2 linked regions of the Styela clava genome follow. The protein of the gene in region 1 binds, or shares a complex with, the protein of each later gene. Links are inferred from orthologs where the notes say so. Each region holds a gene or a part of one and is shown in the gene's direction. Other genes may lie near its edges. The genes, in order: pre-mRNA-splicing factor SYF1-like and pre-mRNA-processing factor 19-like.

Region 1 (9,563 bases):
ACCATATAGCCTATTCATATATGCAATCTTTTAAACACCTACCGGTACCCGTACCGTACTCGCAGATTGTTTTTTCGTTTTCCACAATCATCGAATGACGTGAAATGTGTGAGAAAGTTTCCAAAGACTGACTCTCTGAATTTTTTTAAAATCATTAAAATAGTGTGGCAAACAATTCTTATTTTTTATTACATTTCTCATCTTTTATTCTAATTCCTTTTTTAGACTACCTATTTATTTGTTTGGTTACCATATAATTTATCTTAAGCTTATCTAAACTTACCGTACTCTCTTTTTTCTGATTTTATTAATACCCTATCTGTGAGTGAATACGTACCACTTCTTTTGGCAATACCTTCCATCTTATATTCTGTCTGTTTCAAATACCTGAATACTGTTCCTTTTTTTAGTCAGATAGCCCATTGCGGCATTGTAATCCATCCAGACTTTGTAAAACTTACGTACGGTACCGGTACCGTACGTGTGCCGTGAACGTACAGTACCGGTACCGTATGGTTACGACGGTCCCGGTACCATGTCGGTAGCAATTTATGGTATAGGTTCGTATAAAACCAATAAATAAACGATGTGAATTTTTTGACAAAACGAAGACTTTCTAATATATCCCAGCGCGAACAAAAAAAGCCTTTATTACCACTTTTGCGCTCCCCAAAATGCCGCAAATCACAACACAATGGATGTCGATCTGACCTTTGACATTGGGAAAGTTATGAATGCGCTTTCTGAAAATGAAACAAAAATATGGGCCGCACGCAAGGATGACGCGAACAATCGTGAAGCGTTCGTCAAATAATGAATAAATAAAATAAAATTGCGGAAATTTTTTTTAAAGAGAATCAGTACATTACGAAAACAAAATATATCGGAAAGTTCCAGCTTGACAGGAAATATTATCTGAATCTGCTAATTCGTAAATTTGTTTATTTGCAATGTTCAGAACCACCGCCATCATATCACCCACGATGATACCTACAGAGCGCTAAAATAACGAAGCTGTAGAATAACTCGTAAACAAGGGAATAATAACATTTCACTACAATAGAGAGATGGTAAGGGCAACTTCATTAAGTTTCGCACAACAACAATATTGTAGTGCGTGATTGCCACCAGGTAAACTCATGTTGATAATAAATGAAGCACAACCGGTGTTAGCAAAACGATGTAATTTGCCGACGTTTCGAATTTCTATACAGAAAAACTTCATCAGGGCATGATATGGAAAGGACACAAGTGGATATATATAGAGCAAGAAAAAGAAAAAATATGAAAAAATTATCATGGCGTCAACTCTAATCTAAAAGGATGATGATAAGATAATATGTATAAATAAACAAACTAGCGCAAGTTCAAACAAAAAGGGGACTATTTAAACAATGATTTATATACAGGCGGGTGCCTACTTCACGTACATATTTTTTATCAAAAGATATCATCGTGCTGAGCGGTTGGACTACCCGGCTGCGGTTCGCTGGTTCCCGCCAACGAATAATCATTTATGCTGGGAATACCAAAGTCCTCCCCCCCGTAGGGTGGTTCATGTAACCGATAGTCGGTTGCGGCTTTCTACACCATCAAGGCCAGGCATCTGAAACAAATAACCAGTGGCGCATCATTCTGAGTGTTAGGAATACGCTCGTCATCGTACCTCTGATTGCTGTACGTGGGTTCGCAGGTTCGAATACCGTTGGGATATTTATGTGAGATAGGATTGTCGGACTCCTCACCGCGGTAGGGTTGTTCACGTAACCGCTGGTCGGTTGCGGCTTCTTCGACCATCAATTCCAAGCATCTGAAAGAAATACCTAGCTGACTAATATCATGTCTTACCCGAAACGGAGTGGTAATCGGACGACACACGGTCGTAAACCATCTTATCGGCTTTCCTCTCCCGGGTGAAATATTTCAATCCTATCTAAATTCGAACTGAATAACTAATTCTCCAGTCATATGATTGAACTGGCTTATCAACTTTTCTCACTTCCAGGAAAAAAATGAAAATTCACATATTGCTGTATAGAATAGTTTCCAGTAAATTCAGGATGCCCTATTTCACGGTGAACCGCGGACATTCATATGCCTTTGTTACGTCGATTAGCATTTTTTCGCTAAGCTTCAGCTTTAATTACGATGGCGGAAGTAGACAATTAAATCGATGTAAAGGGTAATGTACACGAAAATGACTCGATTAATGTTATGTGAATAAACTTGCTTTTCATGTTTTATGTAAATTCTAACGTAAATCGTAACTTGGCTGATAGTTAATTTGCGCAAAAACGTTTGCGGCACGCATTGAATTTTTGGCTCGTTGTGGACTTATTCAACCGCTCCGCGGACTCAAGTTGGGAAACACTGCTCTAACAGCTAGCTTGTGCGAAGCGAACAACGCGTGTCATAAAATGAATATCCATGAGGCTCAAAAAGTTTTAAAGGTTAAATGGTTCAATAAAATAATCCCGAATTGGAAATAATTTAAAAACGTATTTATACTTAATAAAACACAAGTATCTCAATCCAATAACTATCGTTGAAAGTTGTCAATCAACGATCGAAGGAGCGCATTTTTAAACTTTGTCAAAAGACCCATTTTACGTAGATATGACACTACATATCTACATCGCATATTGTACACTATTCAGTCTGTACAAAAGTCAGATTGCGAGGTGCTCATACTGTTTAGGAATAGTTAAAAGTCTGAACAGTTAACTGAAATAGAATTTTAAACACCGGACTGGAGGTTTGGCGCATCACACTGACGTTAAAAATACGCTTGTCATCGCTCTGTTCCCTAAAAATAATTTTGTTCTTCACTGTCGCATTATGCTTCACGTTCGTGTAACTCATCTGTTAAGTATTCGAAACCCAAAGCAAATGTATGTTTACGTGGGTAATATTGGTAAACTGGCATATATATTTCACGTGTTTTCAAATCTTGATAAAGGTTTTGTTAGTTTCCCAATCTTCTGTGAGTTCATTGTTTTGTGTAGGTTTTTTTACGGGAAAATCAAAATAAACTCATACTCATAAATAACTATCACCCTATCTCGTCGCCACTGGAATCCCAATATTTGTTGAATTTCAGCAATACTACCTGTTACTACTGTCAACGTAGTCGGTAAATCCTGTAATTTTTTTCTATGAGTCAACTGACTTAACGAAGGAAAAACTTTGAAGTGTTGGAGATGAATTTTTTTGACCTATGACCCCACTAACATTTTATTTGGTGCTTCAGCATGTGAAAAATACAATTGAATAATTCCATGCCGGAATTGCTCTGGAATTGAGTTCGACAATAAAAGGTTTCTCGGGGTTATTTACTTCTGTGAATGCTGCGTTGGGATAACGTTTTAGATTCGTTATGGAGTGAAGAAAGCCAACGAGTGAGCACTACAATAGGTACGTTGTTGCAAGACCTTACGCAGTACCGGTACCGGCACGGCGGCAAAACTGCAAGAACTCTTAGCAACCCACTCGTTCATTACCGGTATCATCTTTCACTAGATTCAAACCTGCGAACTAACACAGGGTACGGTATCGTAATCAAGGTTGCGGTGGTCAACGTATTGCGCATTCATAACAATTAGCACGAAATCCTATATTTATATTCCAGTTCAGTCAGTCGGTGTCATTCAGTCATTCAAATAACTGAATACCGGTAGTGATTCCATGTTCATGTTCTGATGTTGTCTGTGTTGTAGGCAACATTTCTACTATTACAAATCATAGTAACATGACTCACTCACCCGATTTAACTGAAATTCCTTATTATATATGTATAATGATCATTTTCTAAACACTGAACCAGTTATGAAAAGTGATGATACCGGTATTAGAATTTTCACACTTATGCACTTTGGTGAAGTTGAGATTATTCGTGTCTAGTGTAGTTTCGTACTTCAAGTACTTGGCATATGTCAGTTCTAACCCCAAAAATTGTTACCCTATGCCAACTATAAGTACTTGAGGTATGAAACTACTCAAGACCAGATTATTTTGTTACAGGCATTCAAAATAATAATGGAAAGTTATTGGACTCTGATTTTGCATCGCTTCTTTTAAAATATTCCAGTTCATACCGGTTTAGATATGTATAGATACCGTAATTGATTTACAACAGATACCTTCAACTGCAGTTTCTATAGAATGGCTCTGGTACGAAGCAATATTCTGAGCCGAGTTTTTTATAAGCCTTCCATGCTTGAAACGAAACTTCATTTACCACTTCTTGAACAAGTCCGATACCGCAAGCCGAAGTGGTTACTACCACGTCGAGCACCTTCAAAAGCAGGGATATATTTTAATAAACCGAGACCTACGGAACATGATGTAAAGAAAAGTGAATTAATCTATAAATCTTATAATGAAATGCTGAGATCAATAGCTGCTGCTTTCCAAGAAGAAATATTGATAAACGAAGCTAAAAAGGAATCAAAAACTGTCTCAAAAAATAGTTTCGATGAACAAAGCCACCATGAAAAATGTATGGCGTATAATGAAGCTCATAACAAAGAAATGCGGGAAAAACGAGAACAAAAACTCGATCGAATATTGGAAAACCAAGAACAACAATTGAGCCAGAAAGTCAGTTTATTAGAAAAAAAATTCGAACATAAACTTGCTAAATATGAGCAAGAAGTTTTGACAGCGATAGACGAATCTGAAAATTGGATTAGCGAGGAAAATTTGGAAGAAAAAATTGAAGAAGCTTTAGACAATGTGGTTAACTTTAATTTTGCTGTCAAAAGAAATGGCAGAATTGCGTTAAGAACTGTGATACCATAGTATTTTAATCTGTGATGCTAGAGTGCATGGGATTCATAGAGTCTTGTTACAATTAGAAAACATTGGCAACTGACTTCATAACGAAGTTTTGAAATTGCAACTGGACTTTATAATCTTTTGTCATCATTGAGGCATTACATGTGGTATAACAGTGAAAGTGCTGCTATATGTTACTTGTGTGCTTAAGGTTCTGAGGTGCACATAAGGTGCATAATTGACGATAACAGTGTTTCCCAACATTTATGGCTCGTGGCGCTTTTAGCACTCATTGCCCCCCTGTTTATCATTCCAGTGGGATTCAAAGTGTTATTTTGATTGGCAGATTCCAAAGCCTATTAAATGTTCAAACAATTCATGCTCAACGAAGTGAAAAGACCCTGTGAAATAAGCTTATCAAGCTATTAAAAAGAAGAACAGGGTTTTTCATTTAGTAAAACTGAAATGAGTTTTGCGGCTAGCAATGTGGCCCCTCTCCAACTGCTCTGTGGCTTCCTTAGGGAGCCACAGGCCCGTGGTTGGGAACCAATGCCACAGTATTTTCTGCTGTGGTGCAGTACATGGTGCTTATAAAGTCTTGTAACAAATACAAAATATTGAGAACTGACTTCATGACAAAAATTTTAATTTGTGGTAGTGGTAGGATCCCATGAAGATCCTGTCTATCTTTTGTTTGGGACCTGGTTTAGTATGATTCCAACTTCGTCCTCTGGTGGGAATCATTGAGACATTAAATCAGTGTAACAGTGAAAGTGCTGCTATATGTTACTTTTTTTGTTGATAAGGTTTTGATTAATAAATCGTACAAAAGTTGGCTGGACCCAGGTTTGAATAAAATTTTGCTTTGTTTGAAGTTTCGCTTTCACGACTGCTAGTAAACTCCAGTACGATTTGATTTCAATCTAACCCTAGAACCAAATATCTTATTTAATGTTTGTGGCAAAATATATTTCATCCCAAAATGGAGCGTCTTTATTAATGAACTGTTCTGTAAAATGAGTATCGATATATGCTAATGCTCAAAATATTGTGTGAAGGTATTCATGCCGTCTTTTTTTATCTTATAGTCTTTAACCCATAGGAAGGACTGAATTCCTGATAATACATTCTTTATGTTTTGGAATCATCTTCATCATTTAAACTCTAAAACTATGTGTTCCTATTTTTATCTTTTAGAATTCTGTACCGTTAGACCTATTGTAGAATAAGAATATGCCATCTGTGGATGAGCTGGTCTTGGAAGAAGATGACCTACCTTATGAAGAAGAGATATTGCGCAATCCATTCTCTGTCAAATGCTGGCTGAGGTAGGTTTATTTATTACTTATCGATCTTAAGATCGGTAAGTATATTGATAGGTATTTGTATGTATGTCTGTCTGTCTGTGTGTGTGTGTGTCTGTTAGATGCGCGCGATATCTCACGAAAGCGAGATTGAATCTGCTCCAGATTTTGCATGTGCATTCATCTTATCTCGGACCAGATTCCTATTGATTTTGGGCGAATTATGTCGTATAATTAGCGAGTTATCAATCAATTATTGATTAAGTGATCTAGATTTTTGTAAAGCGAGAGGATTTTGAGACCCGCCGAGTGTGTGTGTGCGACGCGCAGTGCGCAAGTTACACGAGCGGATGAAGCGGATGAAAACTGCAGTGTCTGTTTTGGGGGATCCCCTAACTATCGATCGATAAGTATTCGGTTTCCAACCGATATTCTCGTTGGTTTTTTAATCACATATTTAGAATTAGGCTATACATAAGCGCCCACTGCTAGGTCGGGATCTACTATTGATCAAAAGAGCCGGAATCTTTCTGGCTCGACATTGCCTAGACATGACATGGGCAAACAACGGCGAATTCAATCTGATGCTGCCACAACCAAACTAAATTTGTATTTTGATGTTTTAGGAAAAAATACCTCGGAAATTTGTCGAGATTGCGATAAAATTTGGTTTTGTCACGAAGCTCATTGTTTACATTTTTGCTTTTGTAACACTGTAAATAAAATTCTGTTTATAAAATGTAACTTTTAATGTCATTCTTACATGGCCCCCAAGTCTTGGTTGGCAAAATTTTTGACCTCTGGTTCAAAAACCTTACTCAACCGTGGCCTAGCAGGGTGAGGTGACTATGGAATTTGAACTCCTGATTTCAACTTGAAGTGTAACGCTTCAACAACTAAACCCCCCCGACTCAGGTTTGTGTTCAATGATCAGAACATGGACTTTGCTAAACTTTTATTTTCACTATCAAGTTGTTGTGTATGCTCTATGTAATTTTACATTAGTCAATACCACCCAGATGTTACACCTGGAGGGTTATTAGTCGTTAATGAATATGATCCACTGGAAACCGAAGTATAAAGTACACCTTAGCTTGGAAGATTGTTTGTCGCTTGCGATAATTTCCTTAGCGTACAAATTTACTGAAAGATTAAGGTCTGAAACGATTAAAGACAGATGGCAAATATCTGTGACTTTACAACCCAATTCTCTATGTATTATCCGCACCTGGATATAATGTGCAAAACGACCCACTTATACCTCAAACTCACCCATCCAAATTCATGCCATTCTGAAAATTCAGCATCTCTGCAGAGCGATTTTGACACTGTAACCCGCCTATCTGCGCCACTGCTGAAATCCAATTATTCTGTCTATACCCATGTTGCTTGCTGATCTTCCAATGTTATTCCCTGCAACAAATACGTATTGCTTCACATCAGGTGAACAAGCAGGCAACGATTGTTATCGACAACAGTTATTTGTGAATAAACTGTTCTTTATTCATGGTTTCATATTGAGTTTTGAATCTGTGGCCCAGTAACCAAGTCTATTGAATATAAGGATAGTATTATAGTAAAAGAAAGCCCACCCCGACTCTGAATGCTTTATATGCGAAAGTCCTAAGTTATTTATTTTTTTTAGGTACATTGATCACAAAGAAAATGCACCTTATAAGCAGCTCAACATGGTCTATGAGAGAGCTTTGAAAGAACTTCCTGGAAGCTATAAGTTATGGTACAACTATCTACGAATCAGACGAAGCCAGGTTAAAGGTCGATGTCCTACGGACTCAATGTTTGAAGAAGTTAATAACGCACATGAACGAGCGTTAGTTTTTATGCACAAAATGCCCCGGATTTGGATAGATTATTGTAAATTTCTTGTGGATCAAAGATGTCTGACGAGAACGCGTCGTACTTTTGATCGCTGCCTTGAAGCTCTTCCAGTGACGCAGCATGATCGGATTTGGCCGTTGTATATTGAATTTGTGAAAAAATATCCCATTCATGAAACAGCAGTTCGAGTTTTTCGTCGAATGCTGAAACTCATTCCAGAAGAAAGTGAAGACTACGTGGAATATTTAATATCGATCGATCGTTACGATGAGGCAGCTACAAAACTTGCGGAAATTGTTAACGACGAGAGTTTTGCGTCGAAACATGGAAAGACGAATCATTTACTTTGGCATGAGTTATGTGAACTCATTTCAAAGAATCCTGATAAAGTACATTCGCTAAAAGTCGAGGCAATTATTCGTGGTGGTTTAAAACGTTTCACTGACCAATTAGGACAACTTTGGTGCGCTTTAGCTGATTATTACATCAGAAGCGGACTTTTTGAACGAGCGAGAGAGATTTACGAAGAAGCAATAGAAACTGTGACCACTGTCCGTGATTTTACACAAATTTTCGATGCGTACGCTCAATTTGAAGAGTCCGTTATTAGTTCGAAAATGGAAGAGGCGGCTGAAGAGGAACAGAATGAAGAAGATGACATTGATATTGAATTACGACTCGCAAGGTTCGAACATTTAATTACGAGACGTCCATTACTTCTCAATAGCGTCCTCTTGAGGCAGAATCCACACAATGTAAACGAATGGCTTAAACGAGTCGAGCTTTACGAAGATAACTTAGCACAGGTCATCAATACATACACAGAAGCTATACAGACAATAGAAATACCAAAATCCGTTGGAAAGATTTCTAATCTCTGGGTTTCCTTCGCTAAATTCTATGAAAAGCATGATCAAATTGACGACGCTCGTACAATTTTTGGAAAAGCGGTCCTCGTGTCTTACAAAGGCGTTGAAGATCTGGCCACCGTGTGGTGTGAGTGGGCTGAAATGGAACTACGACACGAGAATTTTGATGGCGCAATCAATTTAATGAAACGAGCGACTGCAATGCCACCTAAACGCGCTGGATATTTCGACCATACCGAACCAGTCCAAAATAGAGTATACAAATCATTGAAACTCTGGTCCATGTACGCTGATTTAGAAGAGAGTTTCGGGACCTTCCATACTTGTAAAGCTGTTTATGATCGTATCTTGGATCTCCGAATCTCCACTCCGCAAATTATTATCAATTACGGAATGTTTTTGGAGGACAATCATTATTTTGAAGAGGCTTTTAAGGCTTATGAACGAGGTGTCGGGATGTTTAAATGGCCAAACGTTTTCGATCTTTGGAATACATATTTGACTAAATTCATTGCAAGGTATGGTGGAAAGAAACTAGAGCGCGCTAGAGATCTTTTTGAGCAAGCTTTAGACGGATGTCCCCCCAAGTTCGCAAAAAATTTGTATCTCTTATACGCCAAGCTTGAAGAAGAACATGGGTTATCAAGACACGCAATGGCAGTCTACGAAAAAGCTACGAAGGCCGTTTTACCAGAAGAAAAATATGATATGTTTAATATTTATATTAAGCGTGTAGCCGAAATATACGGAGTTACCCATACAAGGCCGATATACC
Region 2 (9,593 bases), on another chromosome or scaffold:
CCCTCTAGATGTCGCAGTCGAGCTTCCCTCAGTTTTCCTCAAACAGGACGGATTCTGGGATCTTCCCATATCCTAATATTCACGGATGTTCCACGTCGTTACCTCCTACCTCAATACCTACAAATTATACTACCGCATCACCTCATCGATTTCCATCAAAGGCAATCTCATCTCCAACTATAAAACAGGAATTCATAGCACCCAATTGTTCCACAAATGATATATCGTATTTCCCGTCCCTATCCGCTCTCCTAAGAAGCGATTCCGACCCCAAACCCGCGCCTTTATACTCTCCCCCGACAACCATTACACCCAATATGAATATGTTACATTACTTCCAAACCCCGTCTTCACATCCTTCGATAGTAGAGAACACCTCAGCCGATACCCCGGTACCTCTTGAATATAAACCTGTAATCAGTCGTGCGGACGAAAGCCTACCAAAGCAAAGCAATAACGTGAGGTAAGATAAATCATAGGCTGACTTTGTTTTATTTATAGAAGTCGAAATCTAAAACTTTTCAATCAGGTATTTCGCTACGTTGTATATGTTTTCCTGCTGGTTGCATAGACTTGAAGTGCTTCAAGACTCGCTGTAATCTTTATTTCTGACGCGTCATATACAACCAAAAATCGATATAGTTTTTGTTGTTCATAAGTATATTATGCTGATCAATAAAGCCAACGCTGCAAATGTCCGTCTTACAACACACAGTTCAAGCCATTTCTGGGTCACCACCACGATCCTGTAAGCAAACCCAAGTCTCTGTCAAACGATTGAGTCATTTTATAATTAACTATGATCCCCGTCCTACATTTCCCATGTTTTTTGTGAAACTTTGTCGAAACCCAGCCCAAGTACACTTGTCATAAATAAAGAAAATCTATCTCTGAGGGACGTTACGTGCGATAACTAGAGTGCCGTGAGCTAATGGAACTACGAAGAATTATAGGCAGAATTTTATAATTTAAAATTTACCTATTTAATTTTGCAGATCTGTGAACGACTGTGTACACTGTGACCGAAAATTCGAAAACGGAGAGCAACTACGAGAACACGTGATCAACGACCATAGCCGCAAAGACCAGAGACGTGATTCTGCCTATTCAAGCCATAGCGACAAATCTCTTCCTTCTTCGCCAAATCTGAGAAAATCCTCTCCAAACACTTCCGGTTCAGCAGCGAATGAGATCACACATGTTACGTTCCAAGCGAAGCGAATCCAATCCGCTTTTATGCAGAGAGTGAAAGACCTTGCTTATAAGTCATTGGGAAGGTGTGAACCCGTACCGGAAGAGGTCACAGAAATTCCGCATACGTCACAATCGGGAGAAAACGATAGAGCAAATGAAGATGTCGTTGGTCCCGATGTCGGTCGTTCGCCAACTGAAAATGACAACCACGATGTGGCGTCAACGACGACTAACGAAGAGCGACATGTCTCCTCCTCTGACGAAATACAAAGTCCAGAGAGAAAGTCACTAAAAAGAGGTAAGAATACACATTAATGTTGTCGATGCGATGTAGCTCATAAAGGCAATACTCAGAAACCTAAAATTTCTTTTAATTCCCGATGAGGTACTTGATGAACAGGTTTGGTCTCCCGCGACTTTTACCACCTAATTTATTTAATATGTAATTACTTTAACTTGTTGGAAAAATGAACTGTAATATGACTTATTATTGTGAACTGTAAGTCGAGTTTATGGTCGGTTTTATTTTGATCGATGTGCGCCAGTATTCGAGCAATATGGACTCACCAAGGATGTACCTGCTTCGTAGGCAGACCTGACTAGTATTTTGAACTTTGTGTCACGTTTTCTTAGCTTGGTACCAAATACCAAACCAAAGCAATCATAATAATATGAGCAATCACACTTGTAATAGTTTCAACACCACAAACTTATCTCTAAACCCCGTCTAATTGTTAGCTTTCAATAAACTCCTTATTTCACTTTCAGCATCTGAAAAACCACAGAAGTGGAAGCGACAACTATGCAACGAATGGTATGAAATACCTGCCAAGAAGTCGAATGAAGACAAACATATGCAAGACAACGAAGAAACTGTGCAATACAAAGATAATGAGAATATAAACAAAAGCCAGGATAGTGAAGCGAAGGGAGATAGTATCGATGGCGCCTCACCAGTGTCACGAACCCCCGATGCATCCCATGATGACACTTATCCGCCGCCTCAAACCAAATCTGTGGCGCCTGGTTTTGATGCCAATCGATTCGCCCCTATCATTGAATGGAAGCCAGTTATAACAGGTTGGAAAGACTTGGTTTATGGCACAATGTATGCGGTGCCACCTCAGATTCAGCAAAGCTTCCTCGGCCTAACCTCGCCATTTGCAGATCCAAGACTTTTATACAACGACAATGGAATACACGGGATAACCGGCGATACAACCAATACCTTCAATATCAAACCCGGAGTTGACTCACTCAACCACGAAAACAACAGCGACCCAGCGTCTAGATTTTTCCGGTTTTCACCAAACACAGTCGCAAATTTCGCATATCGAAAAGAAAGTCAGACTCCGACCACTCCTGAATCTGCCCAATCGGGTATCTACAACCACTACTACCCGTCTGAATCTCTTCCAATATCCGGTTATAGTCGACTCCAACACGCACTTTTATATCAGTGGGATCCAAACCGAACAAGGCTTGACGGTACATCTTCTGTTCCCCAGTCCGCCAATCTTGTTCCCGCTAATTAATTAAATAGCGTCAATAATATTCTTTTCCTATTTTGCTTACTATATAATACTTTCTGTATCCAGGATAACAGCTGTCATTTTTATTACTTTATCAATCACTTTCATTCAAGTTTTATTTTCACCTAGTGTTGCCCTCGCTTCTGAAACAAATAACTGAATATTTACTATTCCCATACGCGACATGAACTGGGGGGCCGAGGTACGCCATATGATTAAGACATCTTTTCGCCTTTCCTCTTCCGCAGGAATTATAAATTTCAGAAATCCTACTGATATCACGAGGAAATCGTCATCAACTAGGTAGCTTTCTGTCAGTCAAAATATGAATAACATGATTTTGTTCGGAATGAAACACCTTCTAGATTCTTGTACAAGGCCCTTTGTTGTCAGTCAATGATGTGCAAGCTACATGGCAATAATCGCCCTGGTTCGCTTATTTAACCAATTCTCTTGCTTTTGGTTCTGATTAACATAGCCAGCCACAGTTGCGTAGATAGCTCCATAAACAATTCAGCAGAGCAAACGTGTTCTTGGTTTGAACATTGAATTTGCGGTAACTCGGAACCCAAAGTTTTATTTGCGACTTGGTCAATTTTGACTGACTGGCTGCGCAACTGCGGTATTTAATAGGTTTAAATTTCATAAGTATAGGGTTATCGCTACGGCATGGAATTCGGTCTAAGCATTTTAGATAAAACGACTAGTAAAAATAAATCTTCCTTCATTCTCAAAGTTTACCTTCAACCACAAATACCTCAAACTTTGTCGCATTGATACATTTAAAACTGTATATTAATTTTTCCAATACCATTTACCTCAGGTTACTCGGAGCACTGTTATAAGCATACCTCTCTGTATAAGCATGTTTGACGAAGATGTACAGTTATAATTTTCATCTGTATTTCATTGTTATAGGTATACAGTGTGACTACATTTTATGTATTCAGTATATTTTGCATAATTTACTTTACTGTGATGAAAATATAGCGTCGTAGACCTCTAGTTATCGATTTCCATCCATTATTACTTCATTCCGTTGAACCAACGGAACTTGTTTAAGAAAAGTACATATAAATACTGGTGCGAAACCTTTGTGGGCGCAAATCCCTCCAAACCTCAAATCCGAGTAGATTTTAATATGACTTTACCAAACTTTTCCCGACTCGCTTAATGACGACCAGAATTCCAGAATATTTTCTTTACATATTGCAAACTCAGGTAATTCAAAATATAAAGATCCTTAATTCTTCTTTTCTTGCATCCAATGCCTTCGTATAACAAATAAAAACAATTATTGTAAAACTCTTGTATTTTTTATTGAACAAGTTTATGAAGAAAGTTTGTGGAAGCCATGGCCTAGTGCAGCGATCGCCAACCTGTGGCTCGGAGCTCTGTCTCAAAGTTGTTTTTTAGAAGCGTTGAGGCATTAATGAGAGGCGGAGGCATAAAGCTAAATACTCCCCACTAATTACACATCACAGCGGTCCCCAAACTATACGTCGCAAGCGGTAAAAATAGGTTGCATTAATGCGATTCAAGTGTGTAAACACTCTCTTTTTTTAGTTTTGCAAGCAGTTTTCATTTCGTCATAGATTCTATTATTGAATCTTCGTATTTTTAAGAACTTGCTTATTGCATCATAAGTGGGTTTCCGAAAGTTTTATTAGCCTCTGACATAAGAGTATATGTTGCGGCTCGGCAGCGCGGCGGTGTGGCTCATCGTGCTAAGCGTTAGGAAAACTCTCGCCATAGCACCTCTGATTACTCTGCGTGGTTTCGCATGTTCGAATCCAATTCGGGAATGGTTATGTGCGAGAGGATTGCTGGACTCTTCGCCGCCGTGGGGTGGTTCACGTAACCGCTGGCCGTGCAAGTCCATGCTTTCGAAAACAAATAACCAACTAATCCCATCAGTGGCGTATCTAGGGTGTGGCAGCCATGGCTCGTGCCATGGGCGCCGTTTGAACAGGGGCGCAAAACGGGCAAAAAGTATTAATCATAAAAAATTTCAATTGGGAATAATTGAAACTCGTATTTTTACTCAGATAATAACGTACAAGTATCTCAATTAAATAATAGTCATTATAAATTGTCAAACTATCAAGGGGGCGAGTTTTCAGAATTTGCCATGGGCGACATTTTACGTAGATACGCCACTATCCCATACCCGTGCCAACCCGTGTCCTAGTGGTTGAAGCGTAAGACTTCGTTCTCATTTGCCTTGTGAGTTGTTTAAGAAACCATATATCAATACTGGTGAATGTGGGGTCTTTAAATGTGAGTAAATTTTATTGATAATTAATCATTATGAACCTCAAGTATTTTTTTTTTTGAAAGAGAGTGTAATCCGCATATAAAAACAATTTAAATAGTCGGGAAAAGTACTGACGAAACTTTGACTATCACCATAGGTGCGGTAACCGGACAAGTGGTCGTGGTTCGCCTTATGATTAAGTCGGCTTTATTCTCCACCGATATAGATGAAATATTGTCCTATGCTAAAACCTTTCCGAAAGTGGTGCGACTGATTCGGAGGCCTCTATCCGATGAACAGCAGTATGGTAAAGAGTCGCTGAAACAAACCAGTCCGAAAGTCGCTATTGGTGTTCAAAAATTAGCTTTAAAATGGTGCGATAAATTAGGCTAAAATTAGCTATCAGTACTAGTTTGTAAGACCAACTCGCAATAGACTCCTAAAAATAAATCCATGAAGAATATCTTTCGGGTCGAAGGTCTGGAAAATATCCATCGGCACGAAACCACGGAAGTCTTGTTGGACACCATGCATGAGTGACTTCATACGGCGCCGCCATCTTTGATTTTAGCTCCAAGTTTTGAAGATCATACTATTATTGGATTGGGATTGTATGTTGTAATTGTCAAAATGTCGTTAATATGCACAAGTAAGTTGATTGAATTTAAATTTATTTACGTATTTGGAAGTAATTACGTGCAAGAGGATTACTGGTTCACGCTACCGCTATAAGCTTTCCCCTGTGCCCTTCCTTTGATATTTCTGTATTTGTTTCCAAAAAAAACATGTTTTACTGAAACTTGTTATTTGTAAATTTTTCAAAGGGGTCTAGGGTGGTGCAGCCAGTCTGTGGACGATTTCATTCAAACTGCTATAAAATTAAAACTAATATTTCTAACCTGTTAATTTTTTCACCATAGGTCTGTAGGTGCATTGGCAGGGTCTAGTATAGTTTAGTACCACAAGTACTTCCAGTCTGCCAGTGGGCGTAGCATAACGATTTTTGCATATGTTATTCCTAACCCTCACCTGACTATGCCATCCAAAAATTACTACACTACGACGTCACCATCACGTCATACTGTCATAGGGATTGTCAAAGTATAATTACGATCGCCCGAAATGGCATCTGCGCTGCCGATAAGAACTTGCTAAAGCCGGCGATCTCTCTCCTATCGTGATCATTGCGATGAGAAAACGAAAGAAATAGCTTGCTCGATTTCGGGTTATCGTCTGCGCCTTTTGGACAACCATCCGCATACTTCGGTGGGCCGTGTTACGCCACTGTGACGTCGGAATGACGTAATTTTTTGGTGACGTAGTCAGGTGGGGGTTAGGATTGACATATGCAAAAATTGTTGAGCCAGGCCAATTAGAAGTGTATGTGGTACTAAACTATACCAGACCCCATTGGCATTTATTCTACACGGTAAATCTCGAATTAACTTTCTACGACCAGTGGTTAAAGCTATACAAACCATCAAAGTATGACACTCGGGAGACGTATTTGCGACCGAACGACCAGTGTGCAACCGCAGATTTCAAGCCTTGAACATCGCTTATGCTGCGTTGAGACTAGCACATACGCAGCCATGCGTGAAAAAATTGGGCTCCTAATTGCTTTTTTGACCGTCATATATTTTGAGAACACGATTATTTCGAACACAACTCGTCAAATTATAAACAAAGCACCACATCACAGCAATCAAACAGACAAAAACACGGTGATCGCAAATTGTTCGACAAAGATATTATTGACGTATTGGAAATGTGCACCCCCCTATTTCCCCTCCCTTAAATGTTGAAACGTGAAACTTTAAAGATGGTTAAAAGAAACAAAACTCTACTCAGCTGCCAAGTTTCATGTTTTTATCTCCTATATTTCTATAGATTTTCAAGCTTTTTGGAGCGACAATGGGTAGTTGGCGACATGAAAAAATGGTCCGTTTTTTTTCTCCGGGCGGGTTTTCGGGCGTAACTTTTTTTGTTTGTGGCCGCATTTTAGTGTAATTCCGCAGAGATACGAGGTATGAGTGGACGAAATTGGGTGAGAAATATCGTCGCGGTTCATTAATTTTTTCGGTATTAAATTAACCGATGAAGTTGATGGCCGCAAATGGGTCGTGGCCGCAAAGTGGGTAAGCCACCCTACTATAGTTTAGTAACACAAGTATACCACTAGTTGGCGTAGCATAACGAATTTTGCATATGTCATTCCTAACCCCCACCTGACTATGCCATCCAAAAATTATGTCACTAGGACGTCACAATCACGTCATAGAGCTTGCTAAAGTGTAGCTGCGATCGCCCGAAATGGCATCTGTGCCGCCGATAACGAACATCGGCGATCTCTCTCATATCAGGGTCGTTGCGACGAGAAAACGAGAGAAATAACTTGCTCAATTTTGGATGATCGTCTGTGCATTTGGGACGTCCTTCCGTATATTTAGGAGGGCTTTATTACGAAACTGTGATGTCATAATGACATGATTTTTTGGTGACATAGTCAGGTGGGGTTTAAGAATGACATATGCAAAAAGGTGACTGTACATTTGAACCCATGTGTATATCCGCGGGTGCTAAAACCCATGGGTTAGGGTCAGTATGGGTTAAAATGTCCGTAAAACAAAAAAATTTACGTGTGTTCAAATGTACGGGAACCATGCAAAAATTGTTGAGCCAGACCAACTAGAAGTGCATGTGGTACTTAACTATACCAGACCCGTCATAAGTATGTCCTATGGACTCCTATGTCGGTATATTGAACCCCAGTTATAATAAACTTCGACTGACTGACGTATGTCTGTATGTGAACATTTTGACACATTCCAGATTTCCAGCATTCTGTTATTTGCCAAAATGATTGTCTCTTTCTCACTGGATGGTGAAACAACCAGACCTTTCATTTCAAAAATTCATTTTAATCCTTTTTTACAGTCAGTGGAGAAGTGCCAGATCACCCATGCATATCCCAAGTATCTGGATGTGTATTTGAACGAAGATTGCTTGAAAAATATGTCCAAGAGCATGGTGTCGACCCTACATGCAACGAACCTATTTCACCGGAACAGATAATTGATATAAAGGTTGATACTGCGTTATATCTGACATGGGCGAACTACGGCCCGCGTTGCCAAATCCGGCCCAAATCCAATCTGGCCTACCTGATGCTGCCACAACCAACTAAAATCAAATAAAAACCATATATATTTGTATTGATGACTGTATTTTCGGTTGACCCAATAATGAATCTCTCTTCTTTCTGTCATTTTAGGCATTCGACATCTGAAATAAACGACAAAAATAGACTTAATTCATCTTCTAACAGTGCAAAAAAAACAATTCCAATCAGAACAAAGTTTATATTATCTATCTTACTTTACCAGATTCAGTTTCAACGAATTTACATAGTACATACAAATTCCTCTGTTGAAAATTGCCACATTAGAATATTTTCTATATCTTATATTAGCAAACGTCACTTCAGACTTCAATTATAATAGCGGCTGTCTCTGATTCAGTCATACTTCACCAAATTTCTACCTATTCAATATTCTCACCAACATAATGGTCTGAAACTCCGAAAACTTATATTTATCTGTATATTACAGACTAGACCTGACATAGCCAAACTATGGCCTGTGATCCAAATCCGGGCACAATCAGACTAAAATTAAAAGTTTGATGTTTTGGCTAAAAATAGCTCAATGACTTATTCATATTTATTTCATTTTTATCCTGGTCTGGAGAAAATTCCTATGTGAGTAAGATGTGAACCTCTGGCTGCCAGTGCCACTAGCATTTAGCAAAAATGTGCTGAGCGAGGGGCTATTCAATGGCCAATTCTTCTTGCATAATTTGAAAATTATTGTATTTTCAGACTCACTCAGTGATCAAGCCCAAACCACCATCTGCAACAAGTATCCCAGCTATATTGAAGTCCTTACAAGATGAGTGGGATGCTTGCATGCTGAATTCATATACATTGAGACAGCAATTACAAACTACAAGACAAGGTATCAACATCCCCAATTTTTTTATTTTGGACTATAGTGTTAAAAATCAATCGTGAGCACATGGGTACACATATAGGACACTGCACATGTTGGACAGTAATTATCCTTCAAATGTTGACTCAAAGTGTAGGATATATATCTATCCCTATTTCTGAAACATGGCAGCCCAACCTCCCTGTACAACGAATGCCATTCAAATAGCTTTTAGTATCGTATATTCCTAACCTGCAGTTCACTGTGACCATCTTTCAGGAGGGGCATTCAAATTGTATTTTGGAGCATCCCTATTCCTAACCTGCAATCTATGGCAGCCTTATAGTCCTGTGCAAAGAAGGCCATTCAAATAATGAATGGTACCATATATATATATCCATCCCTATGACAGCTGAATAGCCGTCTATGGAGGCGGGCATTTTAATGATGTTTGGGACCATATATTCATCCTAGTTTCTAACCTGCCGTCTATATGTTGATAATAAATGAAGCACAACCGGTGCTACCAAAACGATGTAATTTGCCGATGTTTCGAATTTCTATACAGAAAAACTTCATCAGGGCATCTGTTCGAAACGTCGGCAAATTACATCCTTTCGC

The links.
Region 2: pre-mRNA-splicing factor SYF1-like (region 1) and pre-mRNA-processing factor 19-like share a complex: the UniProt entries of both Homo sapiens proteins name them as parts of the XAB2 complex. The link is inferred for Styela clava from reciprocal best matches to the Homo sapiens genes XAB2 and PRPF19.

The regions. Positions count from the first base shown.
Region 1 is NC_135255.1:19,050,144-19,059,706, forward strand, and holds the start of pre-mRNA-splicing factor SYF1-like, read left to right. Parts: upstream 1-5,968; 5' UTR 5,969-6,009; coding exon 6,010-6,104; intron 6,105-7,725; coding exon 7,726-9,563. Other genes in the region: small ribosomal subunit protein mS26-like, read left to right, coding at 4,162-4,800. UniProt on the Homo sapiens protein: Involved in pre-mRNA splicing as component of the spliceosome. Involved in transcription-coupled repair (TCR), transcription and pre-mRNA splicing.
Region 2 is NC_135252.1:20,700,016-20,709,608, reverse strand, and holds the start of pre-mRNA-processing factor 19-like, read left to right. Parts: upstream 1-5,472; 5' UTR 5,473-5,613; coding exon 5,614-5,632; intron 5,633-7,920; coding exon 7,921-8,069; intron 8,070-8,863; coding exon 8,864-8,999; intron 9,000-9,593. Other genes in the region: uncharacterized protein LOC120343531, read left to right, coding at 9-463, 996-1,492, 1,963-2,729. UniProt on the Homo sapiens protein: Ubiquitin-protein ligase which is a core component of several complexes mainly involved pre-mRNA splicing and DNA repair. Required for pre-mRNA splicing as component of the spliceosome.